Linked DNA regions of Callithrix jacchus. The protein of the gene in region 1 interacts with the protein of each later gene in a biochemical or structural test. Links are inferred from orthologs where the notes say so. Each region holds a gene or a part of one and is shown on either strand. Other genes may lie near its edges. The genes, in order: PNN and RNPS1.

What was found.
Region 2: the proteins of PNN (region 1) and RNPS1 form a complex in vitro, tested with the Homo sapiens proteins (3 studies listed by BioGRID and IntAct). The link is inferred for Callithrix jacchus from reciprocal best matches to the Homo sapiens genes PNN and RNPS1.

What each region holds. Positions count from the first base shown.
Region 1 is NC_133509.1:73,851,694-73,856,116, forward strand, and holds the start of PNN (pinin), read left to right. Parts: upstream 1-1,599; 5' UTR 1,600-1,625; coding exon 1,626-1,738; intron 1,739-2,408; coding exon 2,409-2,480; intron 2,481-2,861; coding exon 2,862-2,930; intron 2,931-3,746; coding exon 3,747-3,819; intron 3,820-3,927; coding exon 3,928-4,022; intron 4,023-4,173; coding exon 4,174-4,249; intron 4,250-4,423. UniProt on the Homo sapiens protein: Transcriptional activator binding to the E-box 1 core sequence of the E-cadherin promoter gene; the core-binding sequence is 5'CAGGTG-3'. Capable of reversing CTBP1-mediated transcription repression.
Region 2 is NC_133513.1:4,512,814-4,516,814, forward strand, and holds the end of RNPS1 (RNA-binding protein with serine-rich domain 1), read left to right. Parts: intron 1-18; exon of another isoform or gene 19-1,625; intron 1,626-1,646; coding exon 1,647-1,788; intron 1,789-2,425; coding exon 2,426-2,525; 3' UTR 2,526-3,294; downstream 3,295-4,001. UniProt on the Homo sapiens protein: Part of pre- and post-splicing multiprotein mRNP complexes. Auxiliary component of the splicing-dependent multiprotein exon junction complex (EJC) deposited at splice junction on mRNAs.

The DNA.
Region 1 (4,423 bases):
TTATGGGCATGAGCCACTGCGCCTGGCCTGTGAAAAATTGTTTTCTGAGTTTCAATTTGTATATTTATAGAAGCAAACCATTTCCCACATTGGCAGTGCAGGTAGGGTAGAACACACACAGATCCCATTAACAATGGGGCCGCTCCCTTAGGCCTGGTCTTTTTTTTTTTTTTTTTTTGAGACGGAGTTTCGCTTTTGTTACCCAGGCTGGAGTGTAATGGCGCAATCTCGGCTCACCGCAACCTCCGCCTTCTGGGTTCAGGCAATTCTCCTGCCTCAGCCTCCCGAGTAGCTGGGATTACAGGCATGCGCCACCATGCCCAGCTAATTTTTTGTATTTTTAGTAGAGTCGGGGTTTCATCATGTTGACCAGGATGGTCTCGATCTCTTGACCTCGTGATCCACCCGCCTCGGCCTCCCAAAGTGCTGGGATTACAGACTTGAGGCACCGCGCCCAGCCTAGGCCTGATCTTAACCAGCTCTAGGCCAGGTGAAGAGGCTAACTCAATTATGACTGCCTGTCTGTCTTCCCACTCCCCATTGCTTTCTTTTCAGATGCTCAGGGTCTAATCAGAGACTAATTCTCAACTGGTGTGACCCAGAGACAGTTACATTATCTCATAATTTCCTTATCAGTAGTAACAGGCATTTTAGTCTCACTTTTAGTTTGTGAGGAATAAGGCATGTAGAAGGTTTCACAGAGGGTCTGAAACAAAACCAACTCCTAACAAATGTTAGCCATTATGATTAATATTTTTCCTAGTTTTTATTTTTGTCTTCCCTCTGCTCAATTTAACCTAATCAGGCCGGGAGTGGTAGCTCAGGCCTGTAATCTCAGCACTTTGGGAGGTCAAGGCGGGCGAAGATCACCGGAGGTCGGGAATGCGAGACCAGTTTGACTTAACAGGGAGAAACTCCGTCTCTACTAAAAATACAAAATTAGCAGGACGTGGTGGCGAATGCCTGTAATCCCAGCTACTCGGGAGGCTGAGGCAGAAGAATCACTTGAACCTGGGAGGCGCAGGTTGCAGTGAGCCGAGACAGCGCCATCGCACTCCAGCCTGGGCGACAGAGCAAGATTCCGTCTGAAAAAAAGAAAACCTAACGGAGAAAAGCACGCGCCCGCCCCCTCTCTGAGCATGCGCACCAACAGAATAGCCGCGCCCTTCCCTAATTAAATCATTAACCAAGGTGAGGGGAAGGAGGAAAAGGAGGCTTGGCTGAGTCCTCCCATGGTGTGATTAGGTTAAAACGAAGTAAGGTACATTACATCATAGGTTAAAATGCGTGGAAAACTCCGCGCTCCCCTTGCCAGAACTGCATGCTCGCGAGCCCAAGTCTCCGAGAACTCAGGGATTGTCAAACCCGCCCCGGCTCTGCGCTAGCGGCGAGATTCAGGCATCGGCAGCTAACTGGGGAGGGAGATTACTGCCTAGCCGACTTTTCATTGGCCCAGAGTCACAAAGGTTGCCGTTTCTCCCCCTTCCGGTCGCTGAGTGGTTGAGGCCGAAAAACAACGCTCATCGTCATTGGCTGATCCGGGCTGTCAGTCCTTTCTCGTCTCGGCGGCGCGGCACAGCCCGGCGCGGCCTGTAGAGCAGTCGCAAGTCTGCTGCAGGGAGAAGATGGCGGTCGCAGTGAGAACTTTGCAGGAACAGCTAGAAAAGGCCAAAGAGAGCCTTAAGAACGTGGATGAGAATATTCGCAAGCTCACCGGGCGGGATCCAAATGACGTGAGGTAAGAGCCTAACGGGAACTTGGACTCGAAGACGCAGCCCAGGTCGGGGTGAATTGGGGGTGGGGAAGGAGGCCAGTCTTCAGAAGATTGGAACCTCGAGGCCTGTTCGCTGTGCGGCGGTAGAACCCTGTACTCGCTGAGGTGGAGAGGCCCCAGGCCCCACAGGAGAGCCCTGGTCTCCGGTCCTTGAGGAAGGAGAGCGAGACCAGGGTGCGTCGGCATGTTTTCTCTGCCTGTGAGAAGATCTGGACTGCTGATTCCCGCCCTCGGCCCTGCAGGCCCGGAACTGCAGCACAAAGCCCCTTACCGCTCCGGCGTACACCCAGCCCGGGGCTGGCCCCGAGACCCTGCCAGGACGCGACTTGCCGTCTCACCCCTGCCTCATGCCCACGTGCAGCTTGTTCCGGGATGGCGGGATGGGGACCTGATCCAGGGTTGTTAATGTGAGGGGGCATTGAGGTGAATATAATTTCTGTGATACGGGTCCTGGAGAAACGAGGAAGTTAAATGAAATGGTACTTTTTGTCCTGTTTCAGACACTTGGATTTATTTGAAACTATCTTTCTGGAACTTTCGTGATTTTCTCCTTAGGATCCACATCTCTGAAAGTATGTGGTGCAACCAGATATGTCTACATAGGATCTTGTACTGATTTGTAAATCTCTTACAGGCCCATCCAAGCCAGATTGCTGGCCCTTTCTGGTCCTGGTGGAGGTAGAGGACGTGGTAGTTTATTACTGAGGTAAGATTTCCCTTGGACTTTACTCATGCTGAAACTATTGGTACTTTTCTATACTAAAGATACTGCTTTGAACAAAACTTGTGATAAAGTCAATAACCCAGTGTTTGTCTTTGTTCTGTTTAATGCTTGTGACAGATTAGTTTTCTTTGTAAATAAATATAGTTACCCTGAAAAACTAGAAGTTGAAGAATATATTAAGTGTACCAGTTTTGTGTGAACTTAATTCTTATAGTTTAAAGTAACACTATAAAAGCATTTTGGAATGAATGCCCATTGTTAGTTGGAAAGATTTTTAAAAGTTCATACCATATTCTCTTGTCAAATGGAAATACCATTTATCTTGTATTTCAAGTGCTTTATGTTGAACATTTTTAATTTCAGGCGTGGATTCTCCGATAGTGGAGGAGGACCCCCAGCCAAACAGAGAGACCTTGAAGGGGCAGTCAGTAGGTAGGTTTTTAAAAAAAAGATTCCTGAAGGCCTCTTTAGTTTTTGAGGTAGCACACACATAAAAATATTTGTTAAAATAATAATGTTGTTTGAGCAGTATTAGAATTGAGTAGCATACCACTTTCCCCCCAAGTTCTCTTGGTATTTGCCTGAACTGAGACAGCCAGTATCCCTCAAAACACAGTTCTGCACGCATGATAACCCAGATTTTATCAAAATAAAGGTCATGTGAAAATTAAAATTGGAAAGAATGTCAGTTAGTACCATTTTTTCTGACTTGTACTTGAAAATTTTAACCAGCTTGAAATAGTTAAAAAAGACAGGAGAACAAAGTTGTTTTGGGCATTAATTTACATATTTTATCTTATCTCTGCTGGATGAAAGAATAAAATGGGGTGGAGGCTTAATAGAACAAAGCTTCTGGAAACTAATCCTAGAAATAGAGGACATTTGCCCTTGGTGGGCAGTTACATAAATACTTCAGTGGTCATTTAAATTAATTTTTGGCCAGGCACAGTGGCTCATGTCTATAAGCCCAGCACTTGGGGAGGCCAAAGCTGGCAGATTGCTTGAGCTGAGGAGTTCAAGACCGACCTGGGCACATGGTGAAATCTCATCCCTACAATAAGTACAGAAACGTTGGCCATGCATGCTGGCTCCTGCCTGTATAGTCCCAGCTACTTGGGAGGCTGAGACGAGAGGAACACCTGAGCCCAGGAGGTCGAGGCCACAGTGAGCCATGATGGCGCTACTGTACTTCACCTTGGGTGATATAGTGAAATCCTGTCTCAAAAAAATTAATTTTTTCTAAAATAGGCTGGGCGGGGAGCGTCGGACCAGAAGAGAATCACGCCAGGAAAGTGACCCAGAGGATGATGATGTTAAAAAGGTATTGAAATTGAAAGGACTTAAATGAATATGGTACTTTCACTTTATTACATTTAAAAGCATACCACCCGTATTCTAGTTAAATTACTGAGATTTTCTTTTTCTGCAGCCAGCATTGCAGTCTTCAGTTGTAGCTACCTCCAAAGAGCGCACACGTAGAGACCTTATCCAGGATCAAAATATGGATGAAAAGGGAAAGCAAAGGTATCCTTCTGGGGGAAAAAATACTGTGGAATAATGTAGTTATAAGAAAAATCAAGGGATTGTTCAAGTGCCCTGTAGTATTTCTTAGAAAATGATGGGTTTAAATGAAATAGATTATGTTGACGTTAAATTTTTTTATTCTGTTCTTTAGGAACCGGCGAATATTTGGCTTGTTGATGGGTACCCTTCAAAAATTTAAACAAGAATCCACTGTCGCTACAGAAAGGGTATTTATCCAGGTTTTGTTTTATATCATATATTGAAGTTGTCAGAGTAGTAGATTAACATTTTTTGAAAAAAGCCTCAAAGCTCTTTAGAGACTTAATTGTGGCTCAGCATGGTGACTCATGCCTCTATTCCCAGCACTTTGGAGGCCGAATTGGGTGGATCACGAGGTCAGG
Region 2 (4,001 bases), on another chromosome or scaffold:
GGAGCTCTGTGTACTCACCTCAGCTTTCGGCCTTGGGAGCCACACCTTTGCTTTGGAGTCTGCTGATTTTCTGCTATTTTGACAGTCTGAGCACTTGCTGAGCTAAAAACCAAGGGGATCCGGGTATCTTATAGGTGGGCATGACTATAGACATTCCAGCTTTTCTTAAGATTCTGCTAGGATTTTTGTGTGTGTCCCCGTACTGTCATTGAATGGAGTGAGTCCACGCTGTGTCCAAGAGAAAATGAGCAGGGGTTGGCCTTCACTGGTAGCTAGACAGAAGACAGATTTTTCTTCATTCTAGAGTCAGTGCTGTGAAATCCCTAATTTGGGCTAACTTAGGCTGAGTTTATTGAAGTTAAACCTCTTAAGTATGTTCTGAATATGTATCTACGTGCCCAAGTTAGTACCCCATGCACTTTGAAGGTGCCTTGAAGGTGGGAACTGAGAAGACAAAAGAGCCCTTCACCCTTTAGGGCACAGAAGGGGCTGCGCTTGGGTTCCTGGTATCCCCAGCTACCGGACAGTTCTTGAGGTTGGGACACATGCTGCCCTGGGGTTCCTGGGTTTGCACCTCCGTTTCCTTTCCTCTCTCCCTGGAGCCCTTCTCCTCACTTCTTGCCACCCCATTGCAGCACATGACCTGTGTTTCAGTGCCGTTCACATTCAGAGAGCCGCCTCTCAGACTGCTTGTTTCCAAACACAGTTTCACAGTTCGTGAAACTTCCTTCATGCTGCTCCCCACTGGAGTCCCACCTCTCCACGAATGGAAGCTCATCTTGACTGTCCCTCACCACCTCATCCCGTCCACCAAGCTTGGCAACTTCACTTCCCAGTTAGCCCTGAATCCTTTCCCTTTCCTACCATTTCATTTGATGATGATTCATGCCCCTCAGTTGATTCATGCCACAGAGCCCTGCTACCAGGTCTCCCCTTCTCCTGGCCCCTTTGTAGGAGAAGGTAGCGCAAAGGTAGATAGCACCTGCAATGCCCTGCGAGGAGGCCCCACCCTGACCCTCCTTCCTTCTGCCTGTCACTTGCTCTCGCTGCTGCCTTCTCTCACAGCACTGTGGGTCCTTCACAGCGCAGGGCAAGGCATATATCCCTTCTCTTCCACCTAGTGGATTTCAGCACTTTTTCTTCCTTTTTTTTGAGACAAACTCTCTCACTCTGTTACCCAGGCTGGAGTGCAGTGGTGTGATCTCAGCTCACTGCAACGTCTGCCCCAGGTTCAAGACATTCTCAGCCCCGCAAGTAGCTGCAATTACAGACGTGCACCACCACACCTCGCTAATTTTTTGAATTTTTAGTGGAGAAGGGGTTTCACCATATTGGCTGGTGTGGAACTCCTGACCTTGTGATTTGCCCGCCTCAGCCTTTCGGTGCTGGGATTACAGGGCTGAGCACTGCGCCTGACCTCCAGCACGTTCTTTAGCTCTTGGCCTGCGTCAGTTTAGATGTGGGAGGATGCCTTGACACCATCGGTGTCTCCTTTCATGTTCCCTGACGCCTTTCCTCATGACATGGTACTCATGACGTTATTTCTGTGATTAGTCATTGTCCCCCAGGCCTGTTGTTCACTGTGACATGCTTTGTGTAGGGAGATGCTTGCTAGATATTTTATGACTTGCTCTCTTTTTCAACAGGACAAATTGATGGCCAGGAGATCACTGCCACCGCTGTGCTGGCACCCTGGCCTAGACCACCCCCCAGGCGATTCAGCCCTCCCAGGAGAATGCTGCCGCCACCACCCATGTGGCGCAGGTCTCCCCCACGGATGAGGAGAAGGTAAACAAAGTGTAGTTTCAGTGAACTGATCAGGCCACAAACCTCATGTGACCGCAGTGACTTAGGGACCCTTTATTCAGCCCTGCCTGCCTTCTGCTGCTGTGTGGGTTAGGGGTAGCAGAGAGTAGTAGCCCTTCAGAGCTCATGGGGAAAGCAGGACGGGCACGGCTGCAGTGAGCAGCAGGCAGGAGAGGCCCTAGCGTGCACCAACACAACTTTCTAAGTCTGAGCAGTGACGTGGCATGACGTGGCCTTCCCAGGAGACCGTTAGACCTGTGAGCCCAGGTGCAGGCCCACTTTTTTCTGAGCTAACAAGAAGGGCTAGGAGAGGAGGAAGTTGGGTGTCAGAGGAGTTGGTGGGAGGTGGGGGTGGTAATCCCTTGCCAAAGGCCACAGTTTGGCCTTCTCTTGCCAGTCGTGAGCTATGCTTTCAGCCTTTGGGGAAGAGGAAGGAAGCCTGGGCTTCTGCCTTGGGTCTCATGAGCACCCATTCCCAAGAGCTCAGGGGCAGGCCCATCAGGTGGGACCTGTCCCAACTTCTAGTACCAAAAAGTAAAACTGTGGAGAATTGCCCAGAAAGAAGCTAGCTTGCCCTACAGTCTGAACTCCTCTGATGTGGTTTCTCCTCTTCCTGCAGATCCCGCTCCCCAAGGCGCAGGTCCCCTGTGCGTCGGCGATCACGCTCCCCAGGCCGCCGCCGCCACAGGAGCCGCTCCAGCTCCAACTCCTCCCGTTAAGCATGCCACTGGATCTCTCACCCCTGTAACTTATACCCCACCCAGCTCAGTTTTGTCACTTTTCTAGCCAAAGGAAGATCAGTAGGAAAGCAAACCCCCTCACTTGGGCAGGCATTGCAGGCAGCAGGCAGCACCCCTCTGCCGACTGGGCTCTGGCTGCAGAAGTGCCGTTGGTGTGTGTTGTGCCTGCCAAGATACCCGCCGAGTTTCTGGCTAGAAAGCTCACCCATTTTCAGTTTCTGAGAGTCAGTTCAGTGACAGAGCCACCAGGGATGAGTGAGGCTCTGGGGGAGTTGTGTGATCTGCCTGCCTGGGAGCACACATTTCCCACAGTGTCCTTTTGAAAAGGGAGCTGTCCTGGGCTTTAGCGCAGCTGCCAAGCCTGTTAGGCCTGGCCTCTCAAGGCCTCTTCTGACACAGGGTCACACAGCCCTGGAGAGCCTCTCACCCACGGTAGTCGCTGTGCATGGTTCTCTCTGTCTGCACCCATGCACACACCCCACCCCATCGCCCTACTGTGAAACTGATGAGTGAGTTGAGAGCCAGCTTTGCTGGGTCACCATGCAGCCCCCGCTGTGCCTGCCCTTCAGGTTATCTTGGCAACATGTACATTGCTTTTTTTTTTTTTTTTTTTTGCTTTTATTGTACAGTCAGTACTATAAAATTTGTTTGAGTTTTAAAACTTTGTAGCATTTTAGATGACACTGTGTTTGTACTTTGTTGTGTAGAGCGGAAGAATTGTGTTAAATAAATGCAGGAGTGGAATGCAGGTCTAGTACTGGGTTCACTGCCTTCTCACTGCTCCCTCGCCCCCTTGGTAGCTTTCTGTTACTCGTGATCCACAGTGGCACCTCCAGTGCTTTCAGGCAGGAGAACCTAGGGTTTGTGTGCTGTGGGTATTAGGTTGCCCCTATGGTGGACAAACAGGAGAATGAGGTGTTTTATTACCTTCTCTGAAGCTGGAACTTCTACCCGACCGGAAACATGAAGAGAGTGTGTGTGGGGAGGGGGGTAAATATTTCGTAGCAACGGGGTGTTGCTGTGTTGCCCCTTGGTCCTGAGTCACTGGGATTACAGGCATGTGTCGCCATGCCAGGCTTGCGTCGCCATGCCAGGCTTGCTTCCTCCTCCATCAGGGGGCCATTTCTCCACCTCAGAAATTGGTTTGGGACACAAGGAAGAATCTTAAATGCTTAACATCTTAAGAACCAAAGTTGAGACCACTGAACACTGCTTGGGACCTCACTGCCCGGTGCTCCCAGTGGTCGGACCAAGACCTCACCCCAGACAGTACAAAGGCCCACTCCCTAGCCCCGTTCGCGGCCCAGCGGGAACACACCCTGTTCTTACCCTTCGGCATTTCTCTGCAAATAAACATTTAGGAGGTCTCACTGTGGTTCAGCCATTTTGCATTTGCCCTTGCGCTAGGCAAGGCCGGTGTCCTGTTCTTACCGCCGGGCTCACCCCAGGCAGCCG